3 linked regions of the Rattus norvegicus genome follow. The protein of the gene in region 1 interacts with the protein of each later gene in a biochemical or structural test. Links are inferred from orthologs where the notes say so. Each region holds a gene or a part of one and is shown in the gene's direction. Other genes may lie near its edges.

Region 1 (10,375 bases):
TCCCAGATTGGGCTCTTGGACTAAACGATAGCCCTAGTGCTCAATATATGACTGGACCCATCTCTACTGTCTGGATTTTTTTTTTAAATTCTCTGGGGACATGTTGCTTCCTCCTCTGGTGGGGGGCTGCCAAGAAAGCAGTGTGGAACTCACTGAGCAATAGTATTGTCCCCTGGGGTCTGTCTGGGATGTTCCTTAATACAATCCCTTGGCTGGGCCTATCCTCCAAGTCCTTATCCTCAGACCTAGAGGAGGACCCAGCAGACCTTACAGAACTCTCTAGAAATCCTTTGTCTCTGCTTTATCCCCAGTTAACTCCAATGGCTAAATTTCTGAAACTCCTGCTTTTCCATCAAAACCCAACCTAACGTGTCACCTCCTCCAGGATGGCTTCACCTGCTCCTAGCAATTATATATCCTCATCAGTTTAGTCTTTTGCTTACATGTAGACAGGAAGCCTCTTCCACACTGAGGAAAACCAGGGTCCTGCCCAAATCAGAGTGGCCTGATGAATGTAGCCACTGCTTGGGAGTCCATGACCCCCGTGCCAATAAATGCAGGAAGCACTTTGGGCCAGCCAACATATCTGCTTTGCTGGGTAATGCTGAAAGACCTTTCCTCATCTTGCCTTTGGTATATTATTAGTCTGTCCCCGGAAATTCTTCAAGGCAGAAACCCTGTCTCAGAAGGAAAAAAAAGAAAGAAAGAAAGAAAGGAAGGAAGGAAGGAAGGAAGAAAAGAAAGAAAAGAAAATGAAGAAGATGAAGAGGAAGAGGAGGAGGAAGGATCAATTTTTGGCCTTTACTTTTGGAAGGGCTGATACGAGCTGCCCCATGTCACCAGTTTGAGAAAGGGTCTCAACAAGAAGCCTAGGCTGGGGGCTGGGGATTTAGCTCAGTGGTAGAGCGCTTACCTAGGAAGCGCAAGGCCCTGGGTTCGGTCCCCAGCTCCGAAAAAAAAGAACAAAAAAAAAAAAAAAAAAAAAAAAAGAAGCCTAGGCTGTCCTTGCTTCATGAACCTCCTGAGTGTTAGGGTTACAGGTGAGCATTCCTGACTTCATTTCAGTCCTGACAATTTCCTCCCTGTCTCTGAAAAGTAAGATGTCACTGATTAACCACCTAGTGGATGGTTCCCCATTATCCCACGATGCTAGGCCAAGATCCGTCCTGGTTAGTCTCATAGCCAGCATGAGATCGACAGGTGAAATCCCCATCTCTTTGGGGGTACACTGTTTAAATAGACCGACAGATTGAGAAACATAAGCATCTCTTTAGAATACTTTCCTTTCTGCCAGGCCCATTACAGTCTGATGTCCCCTGTCCGGCAGTGACCTGGGGGAGAGAAGATGAATGGAATCTATTCTGGGATGAAGTGCATGCTGGGAAGTGAGCCCCCCAGGAAGAGCAGGAATAGCGTGACCCTTGACTTGTCTCTTTCCCCCTTCTTTCTAGATACCCCGAGGTTTCACTTAGTGACAGTCTAAGCGTGACGCTTACGACTTCATCGTTGTGAAATGTGTGTTGGAGGCGATGTGCGGCTTGAATGGAATCCAGAAGTGACCATTCCTCTGACTCAGCTTCAGATTGTGTCTCTAAAACGCACGGTGGACATAGGCAGCCCGTCCCTACCCTGATACGGGTTTCTCAAAACCCTTCAGGCCAAGCCCCAATCTTAGCATAGCTTTGGTGCTTTGGAAAGGGAAATCTGAAGTGTCATTGTTCGGACTCCTCTGGGAACCTTATATGGTGGTATCACGCCTTATACATACATATGCTACATGTATAATACACTATACATATACTATATGTATACTACACATATACTACACATATACATATAGATATCACGGCTGTCTTGGGATAGGAGGAAGCTAAAGCCATGAAGTTATAGGTAGCTAACTAACCCTTCCCCTCCTCAAAGCTTCTTCGTTTTCCTCCAAACCTCGGGATCCTTTACTGAGTCCCTCTTCTGTAAATAACTGATATGCAGGGTATTTGATATGCGACCCCTGTGAAAGTGTTGGGGGGCTGAGAACCACTGCTGTAGAAGGTAGAGATGAGAGTGACTGAAGAGTAGAGCATTGGGAGCCTTACGTGTCCACAGCCTCTGTTATACCGTGATGAGGGACAGGGGCTCCCTGACACGGCGCTACATCTGGTGCTCTTGGGATGTTAAGGACAGGCATTTGGTAGCTTTCCTTTCCAGTGCCTCTTAGCTGCATAGATTATAGATCAGGTGAGGAAACCCATGGGAGGGCTCTGGGCCCGTAAGCATTTACTAACTACTCTCCCTGCTAAAAGAGAGCCATCCGGGAGGTGACTCAGGGCAGCTATGATAGGCCAGATGGGATGGGGTGGCTTTTTTCCTCATAAGATCCTCATAACATTGCTCCATTGAAATTGGGGTTCCCAACAGGTACCAGCATCCCACGGAGCCTCAGTACTGTGTGCAGAGGGATGGAGATGGTGGAGTAACCTTTTCGGGGGACCAGTAGGAAGACTGTTGGCTCCCTTTCTCAGAAGCTCAGCAGACCTGGGTGAGGGCTGGGACTGGTTGGTCCCTCTCTTCCCACAGGTATCAGAGCCCCCTCTTGTTCCCAGGGGAGCCTAGGAGCAGCTGGGCCAAAGCCCAACCAGGAATTTTTCCAGGCTGGTTCCTATATCCAAGGGTGGGCTGGAGGTGGGGGCTTTGGGGAGCTCTTAAGGAAGACACGAGGAGGTGAAGGGGACTTTGTGGAAAGGGAGGGGACAGAGCCACACAGGCTAAGTGTACAAGCATAGAGAAATGGCCAAGGGTCCTAGGTAGAATGGGAGGGGGCAGAGTACAACCCTGAACTCTGTTTAGAAGATGAACTGTGAGCCTAGGCTAGAACTGAGGGAGCCTTACCTCTACTCCCATCCTACCCGGAGTTGGTGGCAGCGCTGGGCAGCTGGCCTAACTACGTTTCTGAATGCTAGGGTAGGTTTGAATCACCACGCAGGCCTGGCCTGCTTCTGCCCCCATTGGCACACTGGCCTTAGTTCCCTGGCAACATCTGGGTGTTTGTGTGTGGGGGGTGTGATCAGGAGGAACAAGGGCTTCTGTCTGCCCAGCTGTCTCTCCCTCAGGGCTCTGCCAGACTCCACAGTGCATACGTGGGCTTCCACAGGTCGTCTCCCTCCGGGCCACTGACTAACTGCTCGGCTTCCCGTTCTCAGTGTCACACATTTGATGCCATATCCTCTCCAGAGAAGCCTCTCTGGAAACTTCCCAGGGAATCCCATTCACCCCAGGGCCCTAGTTCCTTATGTATGAAGATCAGACAAGAGCTCAGATAAGCATACTTGCCTTCCACGTAGCCCCCCGCCCCATATATAATCCTAGAGTTTCTGTTTCCGAGGTCAAACAAGCAACTGTTGGGGGGTGGGTGTTAGAAACACGCAACTATTTGGGAAGTCAAAGCCTGCGGTGCTCAACAGTCAACTCTCACCCCCTGTCCAAGACCCGTGCCATTTGAGCCAGAGTTGGGGTGTGCATAATGTAGTCACTAGGGGGCGCTCGGCCATCACGGGGAGATCGTGAACTTGGGCGAGCCGAGTCTGCGTGAGGAAGGACGCGTGTGTCAATGTGAGTGCGTGCGTGCATGTGCGTGTGTGTCTGGGTATAGTGTGTTTGTGAGGTAGGGGAGAAGACCAGGGGTCACTCCGGGTGTCCGTCTCCCCATACGTCCTTGCCAGCTCTCCGCCTCCCCCCCCCCCCACTTTCTCCTACATTCCTGGGAAAGGAAATTGCCCTCACTCTCCTGTCTCCCCTGATTCCCAACACCCTGGGATTCCCAGTGTGTCCCCGAGCCAAGTTTGAAGGGGTGGACAGATAATTCTCAGGCTATGGACCCTGGTAAGGGGTTTAGATTTCTATTTCGCAGTAGTGGCCTAGGGGCTTCTGAAAGGCGGTGCCTGGTTCGGCCTGGCCTCGCCCCCGGGGCGGGCCTGGGGCGGGGCCTTTGGGGGCGGGGCCAGATTTCCTTTTTTTTCCACCGCTGTTACCGGTGAGAAGCGCAGAGGCTTGGGGCAGCCGAGCTGCAGCGAGGCCGCGGCGCTGGGGGCGAGCTGAGCGGCGGCAGCGGAGCTCTGTCGCGAGACGCAGCGACAAGGCAGACTATTCAACGGACTCATCAGCCAGGGAGTCTGTGCTCTGGGATTTGATATTCAAACCTCTTTTTTTTTTCTTAAACTGTATTGTTTTACGCTTTAATTTATTTTTGCTTCCTATTCCCCTCTTAAATCGTGCCAACGGTTTGGAGAGGTTGCTCCTTCACTCCCTCAAATTACTTCGGATTTTGGAAATCAGCAGAGGAAAGAGGTAGCAGGAGCTCCAGAGAGAAGTCAAGGAAGAGAGAGAGAGAGAGAGACCGGTCAGAGAGCGCGCTGGCGAGCGAACAGAGAGAGGGACAGGGGCAAAGTGACTGACCTGCTTTTGGGGGTGACCGCCAGAGCGCGGCGTGAGCCCTCCCCCTTGGGATCTTTCATCGGACCAGTCGCGCTGACGGACAGACAGACAGACACCGCCCCCAGCCCCAGCGCCCACCTCCTCGCCGGCGGGCAGCCGACGGTGGACGCGGCGGCGAGCCGCGAGCAGGAGCCGAAGCCCGCGCCCGGAGGCGGGGTGGAGGGGGTCGGGGCTCGCGGGATTGCACGGAAACTTTTCGTCCAACTTCTGGGCTCTTCTCTCTCCGGAGTAGCCGTGGTCTGCGCCGCAGGAGGCAAACCGATCGGAGCTGGGAGAAGTGCTAGCTCGGGCCTGGAGAAGCCGGGGCCCGAGAAGAGAGGGGAGAAAGAGAAGGAAGAGGAGAGGGGGCCGCAGTGGGCGCTCGGCTCTCGGGAGCCGGGCTCATGGACGGGTGAGGCGGCGGTGTGCGCAGACAGTGCTCCAGCCGCGCGCGCGCCCCAGGCCCCGGCCCGGGCCTCGGTTCCAGAAGGGAGAGGAGCCCGCCAAGGCGCGCAAGAGAGCGGGCTGCCTCGCAGTCCGAGCCGGAGAGGGAGCGCGAGCCGCGCCGGCCCCGGACGGGCCTCTGAAACCATGAACTTTCTGCTCTCTTGGGTGCACTGGACCCTGGCTTTACTGCTGTACCTCCACCATGCCAAGGTAAGCGGTCGTGCCCGCCTGGTGTCGCCGGGCCATGGCGAGCGCCTCTCCCGCTTGGGGACGTGCGTGCGTGCGAGCGCGCGCGTGGGGGGCTTCGTGCCCCACGCGGGTCCTTGGGCACCGGGCGCGAGGCGTCCCCCTCTGTCGTCGTACGTGGAGGGGGAGGGGGTGCGCGCTAGGTGGGAGGGCGCCAGGATAGTCTCGCCGCCCACGCGGGCCCTGCCCACCCACCAGAGTCACCGCACGTACGATCTGGGCCGAGCAGCGGAGGGCGGGAGCCAGAGGAGGAGGCTGAGGGGGCTGGGCTTGCGCCCGAGCTGGCGGCAGAAGTTTGCTCTGGGTCGCGGGTCCCGGGAGAACTGGAAGTCCGGGCAGAGGGGGCGGGAGTCCGGAGCCCAGCGGGCATGCCTGGGGGTGCTCGGACCTTGGACCGGGGGAGGGCAGAGATCGTGGAGGGGGCAGGGCGCCGGCGACCGAGGGGGCTTTGCTGTCACTGCCATTCGGTCTCTTCGGCCTTTGCAGTGAGTTTGGGGAAAGTTTTAGGATGGATTACTGCGGGGACCCTCTCCCACCCCTCTAGCTTGTTGGGCCACCTGCGCCGCGCCACCCCCTCCCGTCCCCGCTCGCGTCCCGCGCGGTGCCCGCCCTCCCCCGCCTGGCCGGGCGCGCGCGGCGCAGAGCCGATTACATCAGCCCGGGCCTGGCCGGCCTCGTGTTCCCGGAGCCGCGGCTGCTGGAGCCCGGAGACCCGGGCGACAAGCGGCGCCCCTCCCCCACCGGCCCTCCGCGAGGAAGGTGACCTCTGGAGGTATCCCCAGCTCCGGGACCGGGAGAAACTCCCATACCCCTTTCCTCCGTTCCCAACTTCTACCCGTGCCTTGCTCTAGGCAGAATTACCCGACGCCCCTTCCCCCTTTCCCCCATTTCCTGCCTGGTGTGCAGAAAAGCCCTTCCCACCCTTTTATATTTTCCTTTTCCTTGCGAAGACTCATCGGACCCTTCCTGGCCCCAGGGCCCAGGAAAAGGACGGTGACTGTCAGACGTGGGGGTGTTGGGGCCCACCCTCGGGTTCTTTGTGGAAACGCTGACCTAAGTTTTGAGTTGGTGAAGGTGTGCTTCCCTCTCCTCCTAGCAGCTCCAGTTAGCTGTGTTTCACCTTTTTTTTGGGGGGGGGGCGGTCAACGAAGGGTGGACTGACATCACCCTATTTCCCCCGTTTTGGAAACATGACTTGATATTTGCTAAGACAGGGGCAGCCTGGAACCAGCCCTTTCCTACTCCTTTGACAGGATCCCTTGTCAGTATCTCACACACACTTTGTCCTGGCAAAGCCTGATGCCCAGAGAGCAGGTGGTTTAACTCTGAACTTACCCACCCAATTTGCCTACTAAAGGGTCCTTTGATGCTCGTTTCCTCTAATTCTCAGCTATAGAGCCTTCTTGGAAAGGAGGCAGAAGGAAGGAGAAGGGCAGGTGTCCCTGCCACCATCCAGAGGTCCCCAGACCCTGGCACAAAGGCCTTGGTTCTGGGCCTTCATGTGGGGAGGAGGGCAGGAGTGCTTGGCCACAGTGTGACCTTCAGAGGCCCCCAGAGAAGGACACCTGGCCAGTCCCTGCCTAGAACCTCCCCATCTGGGAAGGGGTTCAAAGTTTCTGTTTCCTTTCTCCACTGGGGTCTAGACAGAGGAGGAAGGAGAATGTCATGAGGCTATTGAGGGGGTATTTGAGGGCCTGATGAAGTGCAGAATCCAGGACCAACCTGGGGCAGCTGCAGTGGGAGGCTATGTCTTGAGAAGGGCCACCTCTGACCTTGGCCCTGGTGGCAAGGCTGAGGGCCCTGGATGGATTGCTCTTAGGAAAAAGAGACAGAGACAGACCAAGGGTGGGAGTCTGTCCCTCTGGGGCAGTTGGAGGTCCAGGTTGGTGTGAAGCAGGTGGATGGGGAGTTGTAGCAACAGGAGACCCTCAGGAAGGCCAGGAGCCTTGGCTTGCTTGCCACGTCAGGGCCACAGGGCCTTCTTGGTGACCTTCAGAGGTTCTGGGGAGGGGAGAGAGGAACTGGTGGGGATGAGGAAGGTTGGAGGGCTCAGGGTGGGGCAAAGGACCCCCTGGCAGAACTGAGGAGAAAGCTTCCCTGGGTACATTTAAGCAAAGTGCCCTGCCCAGGTGAGAGGCTCCGGGATGTGGGAGTGGGAGGCTAGCCAGGCTTTGGAAGCTGCAATCGGGACCTGGGCAGACCTGGGACCTGGGGTGGGAGGAGAATGGGACTCTCCCTTCCTTAGGAGCTTCCTCCCAGCTTTTCACCCCTTGAGCAACCTGTGGGTATGCTGACTATTCCCCAGGCCTGGGAAGAGTTCAGATGGGGGAGGGTAGTTGGTGCCCTTCTGTCCTCTGCATCTCTCTTCGACTCGAGCTAACCCTGGTATTTGTCATGTCAGCAGGAGAAGGTCACCACGTTGTTTTTCTCGCCCCCAGTCTTTCCTTCCTGCCCCAGTCCAAATTTGTCCTATTTGACCTTAATGCTTACCCATGGCTTGGGACCAGGGAATCGAGGGCAATGGGAAAAGGGACAGGACAAGAACAGGACGGGGCTGGGGGCCTGGGTCAAGCAGGATTCTGGTATTTTCCTCCTACATTGTGAGCTCCCTCACACCTGGTTAGTCTTTAACTTTCACGGGCTCAGAATTGAAGCCATCCGGAGTAGTGGGTATGCTCTGGGCCCACAGGACCCCTACTGTTCCCCGTGTGACTCAGAAGACTTGGGGAGGGTGGGAGCTGGGGGTTGGGAGAGGAGGCAAAAAGAAATCTAGGGATTCAGTGGTGTCAGGCCTGGGACTCCTGTGGCTGGCCCTGTCCCTGACAACGCTCTTTACTCTTTGTTTTGTCCTCAGTGGTCCCAGGCTGCACCCACGACAGAAGGGGAGCAGAAAGCCCATGAAGGTGAGTCCTCATGCTTGTAATGGGTCCCTGTTGTCCCATTCCTCTTTCTCAGATGGGGGGTGGGGCGCAGGAATATGAGGGTCGAGATTGCACCGGTACTTTTGAGCTTAACCCTTGTGTTTCTTAAGGTGTCTCCTGTTGGGCTTTCTGCTAGAAACAGGACTTGTTGCTTTTTCTAATAGCTTTTCCAGTGACATCTTATCTGGAAAGCTTGCGGTGAGCACAGGCGAAGAGGAAGGCAGTGCTCGAGGTTTCCAGATGTTCTGGGAGGTGTCTCTTGTACCCGCTTCTCCCAGGGGAAGAGACATGTTCAGTGCCCTTGCTACATACCCACAGCTACCCGTGGGGGCTGTGACCCTTTCTGTGTGAGGCTGGGGACAGGATAGAAGGGTATCCTAATAGGACTCCTGAGTCCTGGCTTTGCATTTCTCTGAGTGTAACAGCTTCCATAGACTGCGTTTGGGTGCTGTGAGCTTCCCTGCAGGACCAGCAGAGGGCCGGCTATAGCTCTCAGGCGCCCCGCCCCCCTGCCCAACCCTGAGTCCGCCTGCCTTTTGTTCCAGTGTGGTTTGGAGTACCGGGATCCTCCCATCTCTCTGGGGACGCCCTGGCTCTCCCCAGCACTGAGTGTGGCCTCTGCTCCAGCCGGATGCCACTCCCCCAGTGTCCTTCCTCAGAGTAGGGAAGGCCCTGGGGTCTTCCTCCAGGCTTATTTCCCTGACCCAAATCCACTGTGGCTGCAGGAGCCAGCAGCCAAGGAAGGCTGGTGATGTCCAGCCGGTTTTGCCTCCTCCCCTCTTGGAGCCCTTTCTCTGGCCCAAGGCCTGGCTTTCTGCCACTCTCTGGCCCCGGCCACTGACAGGCCCCTACTTCCAAAGTGCTACCCACCCCCTTCTGCTTCCTAGTGGGCTCTGTGGTCTGGGAGAGGCAAGACAAACGGTCTTTGTTTGATGGAGAAGAGCTTGTCTGCCATAAATAAGGAAAACCACGAAAGCCCGATGCCGGAGTGTATGTGTGCACACGCCCGAAGCGGCAGCACTGCCTTGGGGGCAGGGGCCAGGCTCCCATGGGTACTGGCCAAGTCACTTCCTCCACCTCCTATGGACCTCGGGGACTCTAAGAAGTTTTTGGAAAGGATTCGCATCTTAGGTCTTTGTACACCAAGCTCCCACCTCCATTCATTCCTCGGTCACATCTCTCTGCTGCTTGCTCCTGTGTGGGGCCTCTAAGTAGCCTGAGCCACCTCTGGCTCAGCCAAGATGAAGGGTTAGTTTTTTGTTTTTTTGTTTTTTTTTAAAATTCTGGGTTAGTCATCTTCAATATAGACTTTCCTTGAAAAGAATTTTTCAGATCTGATCTCATGAACTCTTTTTTGGCTGTGTTTTATGTTAACTCTTTGGGGCCAGACAAGAATTCTTTGCTTGTCCAGATAGAAAAGAGAGCCCTTGAGCAAAGCCCAGGGGTGGCAGCTTAGGTTACCGCCACCCCTTTTCCTGTTTGACATCTGTGGCATTGTTCCACCTTTTCTTCCGTGCCCCCATTTCTTGCCAACCTACCCTAAACCTGGGTCCCCTCTTCTTTAACTTTCTGGGAAAAATAAAAAAAACTTTGAAGAGTAAAGGGAGGTTTGGCTGTGGCCCCAGGTTTGGGAGGGTGAGGGTGTGTAGTCTCTGGAGCGTGCACTTAAAATGCCTTTGGTGACATTCCAAACGTTGTCACCCGGAATGAGAAAAGAAGAGTTGTTTTGAGGGCTAGCAAAGGGTCAGCACCACCACCTTCCTGCTCCCTTAAGTGTCCTTAGAGGTCAGGCCAACCTGCTTCCAGAGAAAGGCCCAGAGACTGGAGGGACAGGCCCAAGGTCATACTGACTGCTAGTAGAACTTGGGCCTGTGTGAGCTTGTGTTCCTTCTCTCACTTCAGGGACTGGCTTCTGTGGGGTAGCCTTAGGGGTATGACCAGAAGTGGCAGGCCGAGCCACCATTTGGTGTCCCAGAGAAGTCTAGTGCCCGCCCCTTGGCCCTCAAGTGCCTCTTCCTGATCTCTTGTACCTCATAACTCTGCCTGGGAAAAGGTCTCTCCCCTGTCTTCCTCCAGGTCGGCTTCTAGAAATGCCTGGTACAGAGGCAGATCCTGTTCTTTCCATGATGCAAACAGTTTGCCCTCTTGGGCGGGGTTCTTAGTGCTGGCAGGACCTACATTGTGTGCCTGCCCACTGCCACCTGCTGATTTGTCTCAGGCAGAAGTCCGGGGAAGGGGGACTGGCGGGTGCCTCTTGAAGCGTCTGTGTTTGCGCAGGATGTAGGTATCAGAAG
Region 2 (10,227 bases), on another chromosome or scaffold:
CCCTTTTATACTGTCAGGCATACCTGGCTGTTGCCAGGTAACTGTGGGGGTGGAGCTTGACAGAATGCTAACAACAACAGGACCAGATTTGGTTCCCAATACCCACATCAGATATCTCATAACCACTTACGACTCTAGCGCTAGTGGATCCAGTAACTCTTCTGACCTCCAAGGGCATCTGTACTCGTGCACATAATTAAAGATTAAATAAATCTAAAAAAAATGATTGACATGTATGGAGTGCTCACGGCACTTGACAAGTGAGTCAAATGCATCTCCCGTCACCGTGCTCAACATTCACAGGAACTTCAAACAAGGGAGGGGTAGAGTTTACCTTTGGGGAAACTGAGGCTGGCGGTTAAGTAACATGCCTCCACTTATACACAATTAAATAACTCGTCCCCAGGCTCGAGCCGAGAGCTCTGACTGCAAAGCCGGCCATGATATCACTCTCTTGTACTGTCTTCTGTCTGCCTCAGCAAAGGTAGTCCCAGAGAACTCCAGCTTCTCTGCCTACAGATCAAGTCAGTCCACCACTCAACCAGGCCGGGAGATAAAAGTCCTTTGTGGATTGCACAGCACCGAGGGAGCGTTTCTGGCTGCCCCGGGGGAGTGCGGTGAGAGGGGTGAAGGGTTGAAGTCAAATTTCATCCTCCGATGTGTTTGGCCTTGCCCTGACGAGTAGCCTATGTGTCCAAGGGACCAAGGCCTGAATGACAATGAGATCTTTGTGTCCCCTGGTCAATGGGAAGATCGGACTGGAGAAAGACACAGTGACAAGGCAAACGGGCTGAGTCTGTCTGGTGAGTCTGTCTGGTGTGCCTGGCCTTGCGAGCCTAGCAGCCTTGGCTCTGAGACAGAAACACAGAGGGCACAGTCATGAAGGCTTCGATACATGATCCTGCCCCTGTATCTGGAGCAGGCCAAGCTGGTACCAGCTCAGTGTGGGGTAGGATATCAAGGTCCCGGCTTTGTCATCCACATTGTCCTGTCCCGTTGGCCTCACAAGCCTCTACTTCTTAGCCATTCAATGACAATGGGGCTGGGTTGAACTTTATAGATTAAGAATTTTAAGGTGAGGGCTGGAGAGATGGCTCAGTGGTTAAGAGCACTGACTGCTCTTCCAGAGGTCCCGAGTTCAATTCCCAGCAACCACATGGTGGCTCATAACCATCTGTAATGGGATCTGATTCCCTCTTCTGGTGTGTCTGAAGACAGCTACAGTGTACTCATATATATAAAATAAATAAATCTCTAAACAATAAAAAAAAAACCAAGATGGAGGCAGGAAAATCAAAGCCAAAGAACCTGAGACAGAAGTAGAGGTAGGGAGTGAGCACGTAGACGGCAGAGGAAAGCAGGTTAGGGATGTAGCTCACTAGGCAAGAGGCTCACATAGCTTTCAGGAAGCCCTGGTTTCAGTCCTCAGCATTGCCTAAAATAGGCATGGGGAGCTGGAAGCCATATGCAGGGGCCTTAGAAGAACGTAACTGCAGCAAGACAGAGGGAGCGGGAGGGATGTGGTCCAACGGCAAGGACCTCAGGACCATGGCTTGTCATTTTGCAAGATGAAAAACAGGTTAAAGGGTTTGGAGAATTGGCTCCTTAGTTAAGAGTGCTTGCTGATTTTGCAAAGGACCCAAGTTTGATTCCTAGCACCCATGTTGGGAAGCTTACAAGCACTGGTAATTCTATCTCTAGGTGAATCTAACACTTTTTTCTGGCCTCTACAACACACACACACACACACACACACACACACACACACACACACACACAGAGTTCCCATTTAGTAAAGGTCACCAGAAAATCTGTGCAAAACAACTTGATTCATTGCTTGGTCCGAAGCATGTATTTGAGAAATTCAACTGCCTTTTCCGGTTCCCAAATGAAAAAATAGATAGTTCAGACAGGGCTAGGAAAGAGCACAAATTTGCTTGGTAGATTAAAGGGTTTTTGAGGTGTTAATGTTATTGGAGATTCAGTGGCAGACGGGGAGCCCAACTAGGCTTCCCATGCTTCCTTCCCTCCCCGTGACTCCCTGGGTGAGGCAGGAGACCCAGCCTACTACTCTGTCCCTTGTCTTGATCAGGGCCAGTCCTGCTGTAGGACTTCTGCAGTTTTTGGCATGCTTTAATGCTGAATTCAAACCCTCTGGGGAATTCGAACACTCTCTTTTTTTCTTTCTTATTTGTTTATGTGTTTGTGGCAGGGTGTGGGGTGAGAACACCACAGTGGATGAGAGGGGGCTAGAGAACACCTTGCTGGTGTAGGTTCTTTCCTTCCTCTGTGTGGGCTTTGGGATAGACTCAGGTTTTCATGCTTGGTGATGAGCACCTTATCCTGCTGAGCCATGTGGCTGGTCCATGAGATTTTAGTTCTCTGTCCTCCCCTGAGACCTTGAGAAGCATTCCTACAAACTACGTACGCCCCAACCCCTGGCTCTAAACAGGTTTCCAACTCTTATCCTCAAGGCTAACTGGGTCTATCTTTGGTCTAACATTGGTATAATCCAGTCTATACTAAGTATAGTTCTTTTTGCTTAGGTTACCCAACTGAGACACAAGGCTGCAGTTAATTTTAGTCTCCTTGGTGCCCAGAGCTATAGCAATCAATCCTATGAAAATAGGCATCTGTCCTATGAGCAGAGCAGATCTAGGGAACCTATTGGAACCCTAAATTTGGTGGCCTGAAGCTCCTGAATGTTGGATCAAGGAGAAGACTCAGGGGTCTTATATAGGTCCGAAAGTTTCCTTAGGATTCTTCACAGGCCCTTTGGAGAGAGAACCTGAAGGAAGCCATAACTCTTCTCTGTAGAAAAATGCCATCTCTCCGCCAGATCGCTGCCATCATGGACACGAGTCGAGTGCAGCCCATCAAGCTGGCTAGGGTTACCAAAGTGCTGGGCAGGACCAGTTTTCAGGGACAGTGCACGCAGATGCGAGTGGAATTTATGGATGACACCAGCCACTCTATCATCTGAAACGGCAAAGGCCCTGTTCGAGAGGGTGATGTGCTCACCCTGTTGGAATCAGAAAGAGAAGTTCAGAGGTTGCGTTGACCTTGTTGCTGGGTCCTGGATTTCCACTACTTAGCCCGTGGAATAACCTGCAACTGTTAAATAAAGCATTTGTATTCATAAAAGAAAGAAAGAAAGAAAGAAAGAGAGAGAGAGAGAGAGAGAGAGAGAGAGAGAGAGAGAGGAAGGAAGGAAGGAAGGAAGGAAGAAAGAAAGAAAGAAAGAAAGAAAGAAAGAAAGAAAGAAAGAAAGAAAGAAAGATGCCAAGGTACTGAGGAGCTCTGAAGGGTTCTGTCCTAGGCTAGAACCCTAAGATAAGAGTCCCTCATGTTTTCTTCAGGTGGGATAGTGGAAGGCCACTCACTGATTAAAAACAAAACAAAATTAACTAAATACCTTCAGATCATGAAGCCCCCATTTTCCATGGCTGCTGTCAAGAGAAGGCATGGTGCGAGATGGTGGCAGGTGTGGGAGGGAGGGCGGGAAATGACGTTGAGGGTATCCACCTCCTGTGAGAGAGGCAAGGAGACTTAGGCGTTGAGTGGACCATGAGTGCCTATGTAAGAGGTGACATTAGAATCGAGTTCTGAAAGATGAGAAAGGTCTGAGCTCAGGAAAATCATATGGGAAAGTGTCTGGCAGAGGAAAAGTGAGGATCTAAGAACATGGATGGCCATGGGGTACCTGATGGACTGAGAGCAAGCTGCCTTGGCTGGAGAGAGTGGGTCAGGAGGGAAAATGAGGAGATGGCAGGAAAGGCAGGGACCCTGCTGTATACAAGTTTATCTCTAGACTGCACTCTGCCTTCTCCAATTCCACATTATCCAAACCCAATGGCTGCTTCGATAGCTCCACTTTCAGGAAGGCTCTGCTGCTCTGACCCTCTGGGAGAAGCCTTGGGGTCTGCATCACTGGGGAAGTGGTTCTGTGCATGAGGTACATCCCTTGAGCCACACCCAAAGCTCCTGCCACATCCATTCTGGTACCTCCCCAAGGAGGCAGGCACAAAGTGTTCAGTCAAGAGTTGCTGCACGGAGTGGGGGCAGTCCATGTTCCCAAAAGAAGAGCGGGGCTGAAATGTAGCCTCAGCGTTCTCAGACTACTTTTGGTCAGGTGTTATTGGCGAGCTGTTTGCCCTGTATGAGCCTGTGCCCTTGTTATTAAAATGGTCTCTTGGGGCTGGAGAGATGGCTCAGTGGTTAAGAGCACTGACTGCTCTTCCAGAGGTCCTGAGTTCAATTCCCAGCAACCACATGGTGGCTCACAACCATCTGTAATGGGGTCCAATGTCCTCTTCTTGTGTGTCAGACAGTACACTCATATAAATAAAATAAATAAATCTAGAATGGTCTCTTACTAGTATGTAAGTCAGGCTGGGAATGCAGCAGCATGGGTAGCCTGCTTGCTTAGCGAGCATTGACTCTCAAGTTCAATCCCCAGCACTATATAAACTAGTCATGGTAGGTACTGCACACATGTAATCCTAGAACCCAGGAAACAGAGGTAGGGAGATCAGAAATTCAAGGCCATCCTCACCTACATAGTGAGTGGTCAGCCTGGACTACATGGGACTTTGTCCAAAACCAAAGGCCTGCTGTGCCAACAATGTCCTCCCCACCAACTCTGGTTATTGTTTCTGACCTGACTATCAGTCTTTTACTCTCTGAGTTTGTCAGGTGCTGACGATGCAGGTCTCCCGGCTAAGTTCTAATCCCTCCCTTATCTATGGTTGGTGCCCCTAGAGTTCAAAAGGACCTCGCCTTATTATCGATGAGGACGATGCCACCAGTATCACCAGTGGTAGTTTGTTTTGGTGGCACGGGGAAAATTGGGTACTTGTTTTGGTCACAGCCCCCTACTGCCATGCCAGTGTACACTAGAATCACTCTGCCCTTCTCCACGTCATGAAGCCTGAGAGAGGGCTCAGTCAAGTTCACTAGCTGTGTCTAAAGTAGGACAAGGGGCTTGGCTGTGCCTCTGCGGCTGGCTCTCGGGTAATGCCCAGGACTCTTCAGTCCTCAGCCTCCGCTCTGAACAAGGCCTGTCCTGTTCTAGGTGATTCCTGCAACTGTTCCAGCCCTGACCCTCATGTCTGTTTAGGCAGGAGCCCCAGAACAGATGAGGCAGGTGGGGCCAGGGTGTCTGGTTAGCACACAGCCTACCACAAGGCAAGCAAGGAAGAAAAGACAGCTTTGGTTCTGGGGAGAAGGGGGAGGCAGGCCAGGGGAAGGAGGAGACAGAGGAGGAGGGCCTTTGAGTGGAGGCGGAGGGTGAGACAGACCCTGCCCAGAGCTCCAAGTGGCTTCCTGCTGCTTGCCTCTAAACCCCTCCACATTCCTGCAGCCCTTCAGACCGCCAGAACTCTTCTGCTGCCTGCCCAACTGCCTGCCTGCCTGTGCCGAGGTATGCACCTCCCTGCTAGCCCCTGCCCTTCTGTAAGCTTCCTCAGCCCCTCTGCCCCATCCCCACAACCAACCTCAGGGGGAGGTGAGCTAGAAGCCTGTTGCTCAGGCACAGGGGAACTTGTTATCTCTGTAGCGCTACAGAAAATATCCACGGTTTTCGAGGACCGCTTTCTCTGTTCTCTGGTGGCAGAGGCTGCTGGTCTGTCCTCTGTCACCCTCGGTGGCAGCTGCCTCCTTCTCTGAGAATCTGATCCTCACTTGCCTATCACAACTGCCAACCCAGAGAAAGTCTGGCTGGCAGCCTGCTGGGTCTGGCTCCCTATTCTAGGAGAACAGACATCCAGTTCTGGGTCAGAGCACTGTTGTCCAAATGGGACTTTGCAAGAAGGATAAACAGATCTGTAAACAGCCAAGGCAAGGCACTCCCTTTAATCAGTTCCTCTGGGAGGGCTCAGGTCCCGGGAATCTCCCGTCCACCCCACCCCATCACCCTGTGGGGACGGTCAGCCTGAAATGCCATTCTCTCTCCCAGCCTGCGGTTGCCATTGTTCCCACCCTAATTCTGAGAGATGGTCATCACAGGACCTCACTAACATTGCTTTTACTGTATCTAGACATCTGAGAAAACTAACAGTTTGATACAATCCAGAGATGACAGGGAGGAGGGAGACAGGGTGATTTAGCTCCAGGACACCTTTCACGCCACTACTGAACCTACCCCAAGACTCAGATCAGTCTGTTGAAAGCTTGTCTGCCCCAAGTCGTTCTGTAAACTTCCTGTGTATGACACCTAGGATGGCCAAAATAAGGAATAGGCATCCTGCATCTGCCTCAGAGACAGACAACATACCTGCAGGGGAGGAAATGTCTCCACCAGCCACTCTTTTAAGTTTCTAGAACAGAGTGCAGGGAGTGGCGTGAGGCGCAGACCATACACGGGGTAACAAGCTTTCGGCAGTTTGTGGGCGATCTCACATAGGCATCTCCCCTGTCCTAAGGAAGAGGGATAGTTTTGGGGATACCTGAATTGCCCTAAGACTTCCCAAGCAAGGTCACTTAATTGTGCTTATAAAGTGGTCTGTGCATAAGCTTCAAAGAGTCTCTCGAAGTAGTGTGTACGAAAGTGTGCGTGCATGTCTGTGTGTGTGTGTGTGTGTGTGTGTGTGTGTGTGTGTGTGTGTGTGTGTGTGTGTAAGAGATAATGAGTGTCCACAGCTTTTAGGTTTAAGATATTCCCAAACAGAGGTCAGACCCTTCCCCCCGACCCCCGAGAATGGTTGCAAGGGTATGGAAACAAATTTGTATTTTCCAAGGATTGAACCAGAAAGAAGTGGTTGAGGGAAGAGTTAACTCTCGCTAACTCAGCCATCAGCTGCCACATCGACAGAGCCGCACAGGCGGAGGGGGAGGGGGTGGGGGTGGCTCTGAGAAGGAGTCAGCTTTTGAAACTTTCTCCAAGCCCCACCCACCAAGAGTCTCTTCTCCCTGGTGACTCACTCCGAGAGGAATGCGAGTTGCCACGGCAACCTCTTTTTTTCCCCTTAGGGTCTGTGCCTACTGGCTGGGAGGGGACTCTGGGAACGCTCAGGGACCTCTAGGGTCCAGTCCCCCCAGCCACTGCCACGGCTGCCCTCACCCCACCCCACCCCCGCCCCAGTTACGAAGACAACAGCAAACTCCTGCCCTGTTTCCACCTCCCACGTCCCTGGGTCCCCAGATTGCGATAAGCCTCTCTAGAACTGCCCTTCGCAAGACAGAGGGTTTGGATCTGTGCTTAGAAGGTGTCATTTGACCTTGAACTGTCTTCCTGAGCTCTGGTTTCTTCCCTATTTCTAGTAATAGCAGCAGTCCCTTGGAGAAGGTGCAGGATGAAACCAGCTAAAGCGTAAGCTGGGAAGCCCTTTGCAACCTCACTCCCTTCTAAAGCAACTGATTTTTAACACAAAGGGGATTATTCAAAGTCCCTTTTCTGGCAGCTCCAACATTTGGGGTCCAGAGAACATCTTCTTAGAAAAAGTGGTGACAGGAATATTTTTAAGCATACATGGTTTACATTTATTTCAACTCGAGGATCTTCCTGTCAATTTCCCAAGAGCAATGCATCCTCCCCTAAACAAAGACTGGTGATCAAGGTTGGAACCAGGACTCAGTGGGAAGGGCTTGCTACATCAGCCTGAGGACTCCTAAGTCTTTAGCTTACCCCTGACCTAGGGAGCAGGGTGTGGGGATGCCTGTCTGTAATCTACAATCTAAAAAGGCTACGAAGGCAGAGAGACAGGCCAGTCTATAGAGCTCACAGGTCAGCCGGCCTAGCTGACCCAGCTTCAGGTTAGTGAGAGACCCTGTCTCAGAATATAAGGTAGACAGGCTTAGTGGCACTCGCCTTTAATCTCAGCACTTAGGAGGGAGAGGCAGGGTGATCTCTGGGAGGTGGAGAGGGTCAGCCTGGTCTACGTAAGTGAGTTCCAGGCTACTGAGGGTTTCATAGAAAAATCCTGTCTCAAAACAACAACAACAAAACCCAGCAAACGAACAAACAACAACAACAAAAAGACAAAAAGAAAGGGTAAAGAACAACCAAAGAAGACACTGACTTCTGGCTTACACACACACACACACACACACACACACACACACACACACACCCCACACAGAAATGGGAAAAAAGAACGGAAGGGTGGCGGGTATTGGTCAAAAGCATGAATTACAGCTCAGTGGTGACATTGGAAAAGATGTTATCTGCCTTAGCCTCAGTCTCCCAATCTGTCAGGTGGGGATGATCTGAGCTAGAGGTTCCCTGAACCCATTCCCAGACCCTGGTTTCCTTGGAAGGAGCAGCATCCTGTATGTTTAGCAGCAGCCTCCTTTCCTGAGTTAGGAGAGGAAACAGGAAGAAGGTTCCAGGAAGAAGGCTGGGGAGGCTCTAACTCTGGGCAGATCCTCATCCAGCTGTGGGCTCTGCAGCCTGATGCACAGCTGGGCTTGCTATTTCCAGCTGCAGTTTTCCATGTTAAAAATAATGAGCTTTAAATAGCAGAGGACACGAAGCCTTTTAGGTTGGCGGATGAGTCTGGGGAGATAAACAGGCAAACATGAACACATGGGGCACAGAGTTTAAACATGTAGACCCTGATTTCACCACCAGTGTGGCTAAAAATAAAGGCAGGATGTGGCCACCCCCTCACATTCTTCACCACACAGAGGGAGAATCTTTAAGTATATCTTAAAAAATATTTTAGCAATATGTTTTTTAAAAGTTTGAGCCGAGTGGTGGTGGCACCCACTTTTAATCCCAGCAGAGGCAGGCAGATCTCTGTGAGTTTGAGACCAGCCTGGTCTATAGAGTGAGTTCCAGCATAGCCAGGGTTACCCAGAGAAACCCTGTTTCAAAAAAAGAAAACAACAAAAAGTTTGTATTTACGTGAATATACGTAAGCACAACGCATGTGGGTGCCTTCAGAGGTCAGGAGGGGGCGTCTAAGTTTGTTGATTTAGAGTTACATACAGGTGACTGTGAGCTGCCCGACATGGGTGCTTGAAGCTGAATGTGGGGGTCTTTGATAGGGCAGTAAGCACCCCTAATGGCTGAGTCATTTCTTCAGTCGCCATGCCCTTCCTCCAGATACATCTTGTGAGTATGAAAACCTCAATCTTCACCTATTAACAGATACGAAGTCAGGTCATATGTCATCTATACAGACGAGCCGTCAAGGATGCAAACACATAAACTATTGAATAGACTATTGGTCAATGAAGACACCTCTGACCCTCTCTCTCTCCTCTCTTTCTCTCCCCTCCCTCTCTCTCTCTCTCTCTCTCTCTCTCTCTCTCTCTCACACACACACACACACACACACACACACACAAGCCTGCCTCCCCCAACAGCACCCCAACACAGGCACACGGGTGCCTTTATTTCCAAGATACAAAAGTTGAAATTCAGAAAGAGAAGGTAGCTCACTGGAGATTATACAGCAGGCTGGTGTCTGTACCCAGCCTCCAGATCTTTGGAACCTTGTCAGGTTGGAGTTGACCTTGTTCCTGTAGGTCCTAAATCATTCATAATACATGGGTCCCTTGGTTCATTAGGCCCAAGACCCAACAAACGTGGCTTATAAGTAGTTTCTCGGTAGCTTTCCACTGGCTCCTCCTCTAGTCTCCGATTTAAACCGACAGAAGAGGAGGCTGGCACCAATTTCTAGACCTCTCTGGAGATGGAGGAAGCTACCTTTCCCCTATATTGTAGGGTGGATCCTGATCCCTCCCAGCCTTGCTCCTGACTCCTGGACACCTGGGTTGCACAGGCCCAGGGCCAGCAAATGGTGGCTTATCTGAAGCTTTTAGAGAAACAGCCTCCGCCTTGGCCAGGGGTGTGTTGGGCAGCAAATCAGCTCCGCTTTCACCTGCCTAGTCATAGATATCTGGTAGGAATCCATGAACAGAGATAGCAGCTCGGTCCTTCCAGGAACTTCATTTAAAGTCCCGGGTTATAGGATCTCTCTGGATCATCCTGTGCTGCTTGTGACATTAGGAATTCAGATCTCAGTGGGGGGGGGGGATCAAAGTAAAAGTTTAGATATTTCTGAATGTTTGGCTCAGAAACCACCTTGCCCGAGGAATTTGAGTGAGCTATTTTCCTCTCTAAGCTGTGAGTTCTTTGTCTAAGGTACAGGCGTGGGAAAGAACTATCATGTGGCCCACAATGGCAAGCCTCTAGTAGTGGCTGTCCTAATGGTGTTCAAAATTCTGATGTCACTTCAGACCTTGAGGGGAAAGATTATATAATTGATTAGTAATGTCTGC
Region 3 (10,319 bases), on another chromosome or scaffold:
CTTTACTGTACCTGCAAAGTCACGAATGGGGGTCGAAGAGATAGCTTAGCAGAGAAAGCACTTGCCAGCCATTATGAAGAACAGAGCTCAGATCCCCAGTATCCATGTAAATGCAGCAGGATGGCAGCCCATCTTTAGTTCCCAAGGAAAGCAGAAAGAGGGGATCCCCCAAACAAACTGGCTAGGTAGGTATGGTCTGGGTTCAAGTGAAAGACCTTACATCAATATATAAGAAAAGATAGATAAAGGGAGAATGCTGTTATCAACCTTGGACCTCTAAATGTATGTACAAATATGCATATATGTACACACAACATGCACACACACACACAAACCTGTACACAGCCTACCTATTTGCATGCAAAAAGAAAACCATGAATGGGTTTAAAAAGTTCTGAGGATGCAAACTATAAAGCCCTGAAGCCTGGCTCTGCCCTGCCTGTTGCTTTAATAGTATATTTTCTCTTCTTTCTTTCTTTCTTTTTAATTTCTCAGTTCTCAGAAGTAATTTTTGTTTATTTATTGCCAGTGGAAATGTGGTTTGGTGTCCAAGACAGATCAGGTACATACTATATAGTAAAGGAGATTTCCTGGGATGCCTTATAGCCTTTAGTGTGTCCATGACATGTTTTCTCAGTGCCTGCGCATTTAGACCGTGTCGTCTCTGCTTTTGTGTTTGTTCTGTCTGGTTTCTGCAAGTCCAGCTGTCTCTGGGAGAATGAAAACAAGAAAATGCGGGGCCAGCCCTTCCCAAAGAACTTCCTTTGCTGTCTACACTCCAGTTCCTCCTGGAGTGTGGGCTATGTCAATAGGCCTCCCTCCGAAAGCTCACTTGTTTTAGTGGTTTGGAAATATGAGCACTCCAGGAAGCCCGCTCTTTCTGCATGACCGCTTTGTGTCACCTGTTCCTTAGTGTGGCACTACAGGTCCCTCAAGATGTTGCATTTTGTGGCTGGAAACCAACCCATCGGTATTAATGCATCACTTCATCACTTCGCACAAAGGAAACAAGGTGCTCTCGACTTAATGGCTTAACATAACAAATGGAAGGAAAGGGGCTCAGGGAAAGAGTGGCCGCTCATAGTCTGCCAGCTGCTTTGACTGAACTATCATGGCAAGAAATTGCATGACAGTTTTTAAAAGTCACACTTATCTGTGAAAAATGGCTCATGATGCTGCTGAATGGAGACTTCCCAGGACTGAGGAAGCACATGCTCTGGTTGTTTCACCGAGTCACCCAAACAAAGCTGTGTGTGCTCATGTAAAGGTTAACACCTTAAATTCCCTTTGAGCAGTGCTTAAGAGTGTAAGGAACAAAGAAGAGAATGTAGGTATAGGGACGAAAGACGTTATTATTATTGAAGGTCTATATGGCTGTGGGGAAAGGATATTCCATGGATATCATCAGATACATTTATTTTTTTATTTGTTGTAAATAATGGCATTAAAATTGTTTTATCAAAAGACATTTATTGAGAATCCTTGAGTCATGAATTTTGAAATAATACAATTCTGTACTACTATACATCATGAATTAAGCAAATTGTGAGTTTTATGAAAACCAGTTCAGTGTTCAGGGAAAATGTTGGATACATCATGTATTCCTAGTCCCAAATGTGAACTTATAAAATCATCAAAGGAGCCAGGACAATAGTGTTCTCTCTGATCAGCATGATCTACACATTGGTATCCCTGCAACTCATTGACCAGCCAGCCTAAGCTAATCAGTCAGCTCTATGCCAGTGAGAACCTCCCCCTTCCCCTCAAATACGGGGAACAAACAAGCATGCATTCCCTGGCCCCCATGATCTGAAATACAGATTTGTAAAAATTCTGCCTATGGCTTCCTTTTATGTCCCCTCACAATGTCATCTTTCCTGCCACTTCACTGCCACCAACTACACGTCAGTGACCCATACACTCATCACCTCAAAGCCAAGTATTGGTTTGGATTACAAATTCATCTGACTGCCTCAAAGGGGCAGAAATGGAAACTAGTCAAAGTCCAACTTTCTTCCAAGACAGCCTTCTTCAGTGTCCAAGCCTGTGTGGCCACTAAGACCCCTATCGTTATGGAGGATTGAGTCCTGCTGGGTCATTCTTGACAACACCTGCTCCTTTGTTGCCATAGCAACCTGCCTGTCCAGTTAGCTTCACTCTCAAACTGCATAAACTCCCTGCTTCCCCTTTCTTCCCACTGTGTGTTCCGAACAGTATGTCAAAACTCATCTTCTTCCCTGACTTTACGACCACCCACTCTTCATGCAACTGCCAGAGTGGTGGAATTTTTTTAAATTAAGTTATTCTGGGATAAATTAAACAATTATTAACTATGTTTTGAGGCTTTCCTTCTTTTTCTTTTAGACAGCATCTCATGTAGTCCAAGCTGACTTCAAACTCCCTTAACCAAGGATGACCTTGAACTCTGGATCTTCTAGCTTTTACGTCCAGAGTGCCAGGATTGCAGGTAGGCCTGGCTCTGCCTGGTTTTTGTGTGCTGCTGGAATTGAATCTAGCTTGCATGCTAGGAAAACATTCTATCAACTGAGATACATCAGCAGCCCTGTTTTGAGCCTTTGACTGTTTTAATAATGATTTTTGTCGATCTTTCAGCATTCCTTAAACTTTTTATTCTTTAGTTGCATGGAATTATGTGACTTTAAGTAACCGATCCTCTGCACCTTGGAAATTTTGAGTTCATTCTCTCTAGTGATACTTTTAATTTTGCTTGCTGAGTGTTTCTGTCTGTTGTTTTTATTTTCCTAATTTAGAGAGAATTCAGCCAGGTAGCGTAGTTCGAAATTTGTGATCCCAGTATGTTGGCAAATTACTCAGTGTCTCAATCTCAATCCCTGCCCCCAAGAAGTGGTTCATGGAAGGCAGATTAATTGATGGTTACTGTTTCAGTTTTCAAAATCTAACCCCAAAGGCTGTGACTCCACCAGCATGACTCAGAATTTAGCACTGTCCACCTATGTCAGAGAATATTCAGATCACAAAAAAAAAAACAAAAAAACTTTGCTTTGAAACCTTTTCCTGCAAGTTTTAGAAAACATCTATTTCTCTGTTACTTAGAGAAACAGAAACTAGGGCTAGAGAGTTAACTAACTAAGGTTAAGTGAACTTGCTGTTCTTCCAGAGGACCTAGGTTCAGCCCTGAGCATCCACATTGGACAGCTAACAACCATCTGTAATTCCAGCTCCAGGGCATCTGACATCTATGGTCTGTGACCACCTGCACTCACATATACATACCACATGCAGACACATACATACACATGATTAAAAGTAATAAAAACTAACATTAAAAAAGAAAACGAAACTAAAGATTATTTATTCTCTTCTGTCACTACAAATTCTATGCTATAGCTATGGCAGAAGCCCAAGAGACAACTGTTGCATGACTGCCGTTTCATAAACGTGTCATTGTAAGGGAATTGTCTCTTTTAAAAACTTTTAAATTGGGCTGGAGAGATGGCTCAGTGGTTAAGAGCACCGACTGCTCTTCCAGAGGTCCTGAGTTCAATTCCCAACAACCACGTGATGGCTTACAACCATCTGTAATGAGATCTGATGCCCTCTTCTGGTGTGTCTGAGGACAGCAACAATGTACTTACATATAAATAAATAAATCTTTAAAAAAAACTTAAATTATTTTAATTGTGTGTACATATGGCTGGGTATATGCATGGGAATGGAAGTGCCTGCAGGGTTTAGAAGAGGATATTGGATCCCTGGGAATTGTAGATATAGGTGGTCTTGAGTTACCTAGTATAGGCACTGGGAATTGATCTTGAAAGAGCAGAACCTTCCCTTCACCACAATGCCATTTCTTCTGACCCAAAGGGGTTTTTTTTTGTTTGTTTGTTTTGTTTTGTTTTTATGTTTTTTATTTTGAGAAGATAGTGCCTCAGGTAGCACAGACTGACCTCCAACTCACTCTAACCTCAGAATCCTGATCCTCTTGCCTCCTGTTCCAGAGTGCTGGGATCACGACTCCAGACCACTGCGTGTGGTTGTAAATTGTAGTTTCTTATTCTTTCCACAGTTCTCTCCTTCCATGTCAGATGTTGGTTAGCTCCCAAGAATTCTTTCGATTGTTTTTCTATAGCTGTAGATTGTGTTTTAAAAACAACGCAATGCGTCATCGTCATCTCGAATGCACTTGATTTGGTTTTGAGCTAACTGGGATCCCCGTGTTGTACCCATCCCCATTTGTGCCCTTCAGAAATAGGTGGCTCCAAAGGCCTTCTGGGAGCAATGACTCTCCTCTTATTTCTAACAAATTGATGTGGTTCGGTGAAAGGAGCAGGGTGTTTCCACCCAGCTAGTTCATACTGGCCATGCTCAAACAGGTTGCATCCTCAGCAGTCCCTGAGGTGGTACTGACCACAGACATCCTCTATCCAGCACGGTTAGGGCAGCAGATAGATAAATCACCTGAAGGTGGAAGCAGGCCCTGTCTCCTAGGCAGATCTGTGATATCAAGAGGAGGAATGTGTGCACGAGACCAAAATAAAATCAAACTAGGAATACTGCCAAATTCTTCCTCTGTCTCACACTTGCTCTCCTATAAAGCCAGTCTGTCTCCCTGGGTGGAGAGTTGCAGGTATCTTAAACGGCCTATCTCTTCTTGATGGAATCTTACGGCACAGGAAAAGGCTGTTAACCAGAATGGTTAGCAATATACCAATGGCATGAGCTGACAATTACTAATTAGGGCGGCTGGGTTCCATTTCGCAGCACCCACTGTGGAAAAAAAAGGAATCTAGGGAAGCCTCAGATAAGCCTAGTCCTGGAAAATCAGAGAGAGAGAGTTTTAAGTATGTCTCCCCTAAAGTACACAGAAGGCATGCCTTACCAGTTAGAGAAAAGCTGTCAAGAGAACTTAGGGACTGAGCCAGAAAAACAGGAGTCCTTCACTGGTACCCCAAGCTTCAAAGCCCTTTCTCCCCCTTGTCTCTGGGTTTGAGGAACTGGCTTTCACAGGGAGCACCAGCTGATCACTTAAGTGTCTCACCTGTACCCCTTAGCTCAATCCGACCCAGGGCAGATTGATTAAATAACAGCTTCACCTGGGCGAGCGAGCCGGGCATTGGGATTCCTCTTCCGAAAAAGACAAGGATCTGGATCTCCACAGTTTTGGCCTGATTTCCCTTTTATGTCGACTCGCCAAGTCCTCCGAGACACCGGTCTCTTGGACTCCAGGGCTAAGGTGGCTCCGGGTCACCCTGAGTCTGAGGCTTGCCCAGCACAGTTGGAATTGGCAAGGATGCGCCCGATGCCTGGCGTAGGGAGGTAGGGACACGCGCTCCCTGTGGCAGATTGCCAGCTCCCCTCCACCCCCAGCTTCCCCACCCCGCCACCACTCTTGTTCCTCCCACCTCAGCTTTGCCCTGGGCGCGGCTATCGCCTAGACCTTGCCTGCAGAGGGCCAACGGCCTCGCGACTGCCCCTTCCGCTCGACTCAGGCGTTTGACTCCCAGCCTTCTGGCACGCCCAACCCACCCGGTCTTCCATAAGGGTCAGAGAACCAAAGAGGTAGCTAGTGGCGACTAACGGAGGCGCTCCAGGGCTGGCTCTCTACACAAGGGGGTGGCTTTGCGGTGGGGCAGGGAGGGAGAGGCTGCGTTGGAGGCGGGCTCGGTAACCAGGGCCGAAAAGAAGGCTGGACTCTGGAGCCAGTGGGTCCTGCGCCGGAGCCCAGGCTGGAGATCCGCGCAATGCACAAGCTTCAGTTCAGCGCCCAGTCCAGACACCCAACGCAGATTCCTGGCCTGGGGCACCAGTGTCCCCGGGTGTCCTTTCTCCCTGACTGACCCTAATTTTTCAGCCAAAACCTTTGACCAGAGTCTCCTTGCCAGCAATCCTAAATCTTTGCCAGCCCTTGCACCAGGTAGGAGTTAGTCTCTGTGGTGGTAGTGTGTCTATAAATGCCACCTCCCAGAAGGCGTATGACCTTTTCACCTTATCCACCAGCTCTTTCCGAGGGCATAGAGTCTCTTATACTCGTACTTGATCAGAGGCCTCAACCAGTTTAAGTCCCTGGGTGTCCTTGCTATTCATAAGCCAAACACCACCTGCTGCAGTTCTCGGAATGCCCTGGAGGATGGAACCGGACGACGTGGGGGAGGGGAAGCACTGGGCAGACGCGGGGGACTGGGACGCACCTCTTCTGTGGGTGGCGGGTGAGGCTGGAGGACCAGTAGACACAATTGCCTGTAATCTAAACCTGGCACTACGAGACCCTTGCAAAGATCATCCTGTCACCCTCATGAGGGGTCCTTGCCAGTCTTGTCCTTCCTTCAGGGTGCACAGAAATGGGCCCCTCCACCCTTAGAACCTTGGACCCCTGATTCAGATTCTTGGAGTTCTACGTGGCTGCTCTGTGTCTGTTGGCGGCTGCCCCCTAGCTGAAAGGCGCGCCACCATCCATCCTCCTGGCTCATGTAACCCCAAAGGAGAGGGCACCAAATCTCGGGGAACAATGCAGCCTGCAGCGTCAGGGGTGGAGATGGGGGGTCGGGTACCCAGCCTCGCCTTTATGCACGGCGAGGTGGTCTTGTTCGGCTGCAGCCAGGCTCCGTGCTCCAAGAAGGTCTGCCTATGTTTTACGTGGCAGAGGCACGGTCGCAGTTCTCTAGTAGCGCGTCTCCCAGAACAGCCTTCTTCTTCTGGTCAACAGTCTTACTCGCAGCATTCTGGAGTGCCTGGCTGCTTCCCGCCCCAAACCTCAGGCTGGCACCCAGGAAGTGAAAGCAAGGACTGACGCGTGATCCACACCACCTGGGGCGCGGGTGACTAGGGATTTGGAGTTCCTTGAAGTAGCAGCTAACCCCGGGCTCTCAGAACTCCTGGGCTCCGGGATCCTCAGCCTAGCTCAGTCCTGGGGTGCAGAGATCTCGCCAAGGTAGACTAGCTGATCACTGGGGCTGGTACCACTAGCATTGCCCCTCCTGACACACACGTGTCCTTGCGCTATGGGCACAGACTACTGGCTCCCCAATGACCTTCTTCCCGCGGAGAGCACAGCAGGGTGCCCGGAGGTGGGGTGGAGGGGGGAGCCCAAAGGACCGAAGGAGAAAGCGTGCAGAGAGAAACTTGTGTCTCCGAATCTCCAGCCAGGCAATCACTGGCAGAGCTGTGCGGGGAGGGGGCGGGAGGAAGCGAGGGAAGGGATCTGGGAGGGAGGGGGAGGTCGGAGAGAGAGGCGGGTGCCAGTGGAGAAAGTCCTCGCTCTCCCGCTCATCTTTTCATTGCTCTCTCTCCTTCCCGCAGACAACCCGGACCTCCTCTGGGCGCCAGCTCCTCGGCTCCAACCCGTCCAGAATCAAGCGGGATTTTTTTTTTCTTTCCCTCTAGAAATTGGCTTTGGTGTGTCGCCCGCCCTCTCCCCTCCTCCTCGCAACTCCTCCCCTCTTTTTTTCCTCCTTCTTCTTCTTCCTGAGACATGGCCCGGGCAGTGGCTCCTGGAAGAGGAACAAGTGTGGGAAAAGGGAGAGGAAATCGGAGCTAAATGACAGGATGCAGGCGACTTGAGACACAAAAAGAGACGCGCTTCTCGCGAATTCAGGCATTGCCTCGCCGCTAGCCTTCCCCGCCAAGACCGGCTGAGGATTTTATGGTTCTTAAGCGGACTTAAGAGCGTTGTTTCGGATTGTTAAGATTCCCGTTTGCTGGGTTTTCCTCCCTCAATCGTGCTCTCCCGCGGCTGCCTGGGGACTGGCTCGGCGAAGGAGGATGGAGAGGGGGCTGCCGTTGCTGTGCGCCACGCTCGCCCTTGCCCTCGCCCTGGCGGGCGCTTTCCGCAGCGGTAAGTGACAGCCGGAGGCGGGAGCGACCGGAGTGCCCGGGGCTGCCGGGTTCCCTCGGGCGAGGGGGTTCCAGCCCCAGCCACGGGACGCGCGCACGACTGCCGGACGCAGGAAACTTGCCTGTGCAAGGAACAGAGAAGTCAGGGTGTCTGGGGCAGGAGGACCACAAGCCCTCCGCCCCCTGCTCCAGTTGGTTGCTGGCTTCTCTTGCCTCTGTTTCGAGGCAGAGCTGCCTACCTTCCCAGATCAGCACACCAATTATCTTAATAATGTTTCCTCCCAGAGGCAATTAAATGAGACTCCCTTTCAAAAATCTGATGGCTGCTGAGAGTTAATGAACACTTCATCGGGAGGACTTCCTGGTTCTCCTCGAAACATCCCTGCTCAGTTTCCTCTGGTGGGCCACACCAAGAGATAGCGGTCAGTCTTGGCGCTAGAACTCTCTCTGCCGCCTTTGTAAACCGTCTGTGATCAGTCTGAAGTATGAATGAAAGTCGCACTGTCAATAAAGGCTTTGGATCTATTCAGTGCGAGGCACCAGCGTATCTGAGAATCCGTAACCCCTGTTGCAGTCTCCAGTTGGCTTTTAAAACCACTCACTGTTAAGTAAATGAAAGGCAATCCTGGGTATAAACAGTACCCTGGAACCTAAAGAGTGTGTTTAAAATGGGATCTGGTACGAATGTGTTCCGCGTCTCCTGGAAAGGTGCTGAAGGCTAGGCAAGGGCTGATCGGAACAGTAGATCTTTAGCTTTATATATTAACTAATAGCTAAATGTTTACTTTGTCTGGCTTAGATTTCGATCAAAGTAATTAGGAAAAAAGTGCACCTACTACTTATTGTGGTATATTGTTTTAATAAGAGCCGAGCGGAGGGGCTCTACCAGGAAGAATTTAAATCACTCTTTTATGATAGAAGTTAATCTCCTTAATGTGTTTTCCCTGGTTTTTTTTTTTTTTTTTTTTTTTTGTGATTTCAACTATAGATCTCCCCCAACAGGTACCAAGCAGTGTTCTCAAAAGATATGCAAATATTTTTGTGAACACGGCTGGAATTCAATTTATTAATGAATTCGAGTTGGCGGCATCTTCCTATATACTCTGGAAGGGAAGCCAAATACTCAAAAAAATCATGAATGTGGAGTTCAATTTGTTAATGAACCTGAGTTGGTGGAGTGCTTCTGTAGTCTGGCAGGGGTTGAAATGTCTATTTCCTCTAAGCAAAAGAACTCAAATGCTTAGACCTCAAATGGTTAGCCTTCATAATGCCTAAGGACGGAGTGGTGGTCCTCAACTTTCCTAAGGCTGCAATCCTTTAATATAGTTCTTCATGTTGTGGTGACTCCCCAAACATAAAATTATTTTTGTTGCTACTTCATAACTGTAGTTTTGCTACTGTTATGAATTGTCATGTAAATGTTTTTGGAGAAAGAGTTCTCTCAAAGGGGTAGCAACTCACAGATTGAGAACAACACTGGGTTAGAGCCATGTTGGGGTACCCAGAAGATGGTCGTGATAGCCAAGGTGAAGAGTATTAAGACTTGTGTAGTTCTGACAGCACACACCACACACACACACACACACACACACACACACACACACACTTTTTAATTTTCTTAGCAGAAATGTGGGGAATGCTGGGAATCTGGACTCCACTCAACTGAAACCCTATTGCTATGCTTGAGGTGACCAGGGCCAACACATGCCTCAGTAAGCCTGTAGTCCTCTTAAAACCATATCCACCTCCTCCCAGTAAGTGTCTACTAAATTAATTCATTAACCTTATTTAGGACTAATGGTCCACAGTCATTAGGAATCGCTCTCTCCTAATCAAGTGTTAGAGAGACTGAACAGAATGTGGGAGTCCAGCAGTCCACATTATCTTATTACACTGTCACTTTCTCAGAAGTCACAGATTAAAGTGCTCTGGTGTGGTACCAACCCCACCTCACTGTCTTCTGAAGTGACTATCTGTCGACTGTTTTATTTCACTCTCCTAACAGATGCCATGGTGGCTACACAGAACTGGAGTGACTTAATGAGCTGGGGGGGGGGGGTGTCATTCTCCAAGATTTCTGTACAAAATAAAATAATGCCAGAGCCTCCGCAGAATCACACCACCGAGCTGGCTAACATCATTAGCTGCGATTCTGAACATTGGTTGCAGCATCAGTTCTTCCTGAAGACCTAAAGCTTTTAAAAAGCCAATGGGAAGAGAATGTGTAGGACCAACCCCCTCCAATCTAAGAAACAGCCAGAAACATCTAGCAATTGGAGAAAACAACATAATTTATATTGTCTTCTTTTTAATTTATGGGAAATGACTTCTGTAATGCATGTAGCTTTATGCATTTTTGATATGCACTTCATCTTTCATTTCCATTTGACCTGGTTTTCCTGTAATAAAATTCCGTAGATTTATAAATTCATGCTGAGAGCAAAGAATGCCATTCTCTTTCCACAGGGAATCTATTAGATGTAATATTAAAATCTATATATACCATT

What was found.
Region 2: the proteins of Vegfa (region 1) and Sparc form a complex in vitro, tested with the Homo sapiens proteins (2 studies listed by BioGRID, with this or other methods). The link is inferred for Rattus norvegicus from reciprocal best matches to the Homo sapiens genes VEGFA and SPARC.
Region 3: the proteins of Vegfa (region 1) and Nrp1 form a complex in vitro, tested with the Homo sapiens proteins (8 studies listed by BioGRID, with this or other methods). The link is inferred for Rattus norvegicus from reciprocal best matches to the Homo sapiens genes VEGFA and NRP1.

What each region holds. Positions count from the first base shown.
Region 1 is NC_086027.1:22,448,810-22,459,184, forward strand, and holds the start of Vegfa (vascular endothelial growth factor A), read left to right. Parts: upstream 1-4,044; 5' UTR 4,045-4,521; coding exon 4,522-5,124; intron 5,125-8,014; coding exon 8,015-8,063; intron 8,064-10,375.
Region 2 is NC_086028.1:40,033,974-40,044,200, reverse strand, and holds the start of Sparc (SPARC precursor), read left to right. Parts: upstream 1-5,384; 5' UTR 5,385-5,422; intron 5,423-10,227.
Region 3 is NC_086037.1:73,251,094-73,261,412, forward strand, and holds the start of Nrp1 (neuropilin-1 precursor), read left to right. Parts: upstream 1-5,463; 5' UTR 5,464-5,541; intron 5,542-6,770; exon of another isoform or gene 6,771-6,910; intron 6,911-7,136; exon of another isoform or gene 7,137-7,278; 5' UTR 7,279-7,740; coding exon 7,741-7,813; intron 7,814-10,319. UniProt on the Homo sapiens protein: Cell-surface receptor involved in the development of the cardiovascular system, in angiogenesis, in the formation of certain neuronal circuits and in organogenesis outside the nervous system. Mediates the chemorepulsant activity of semaphorins.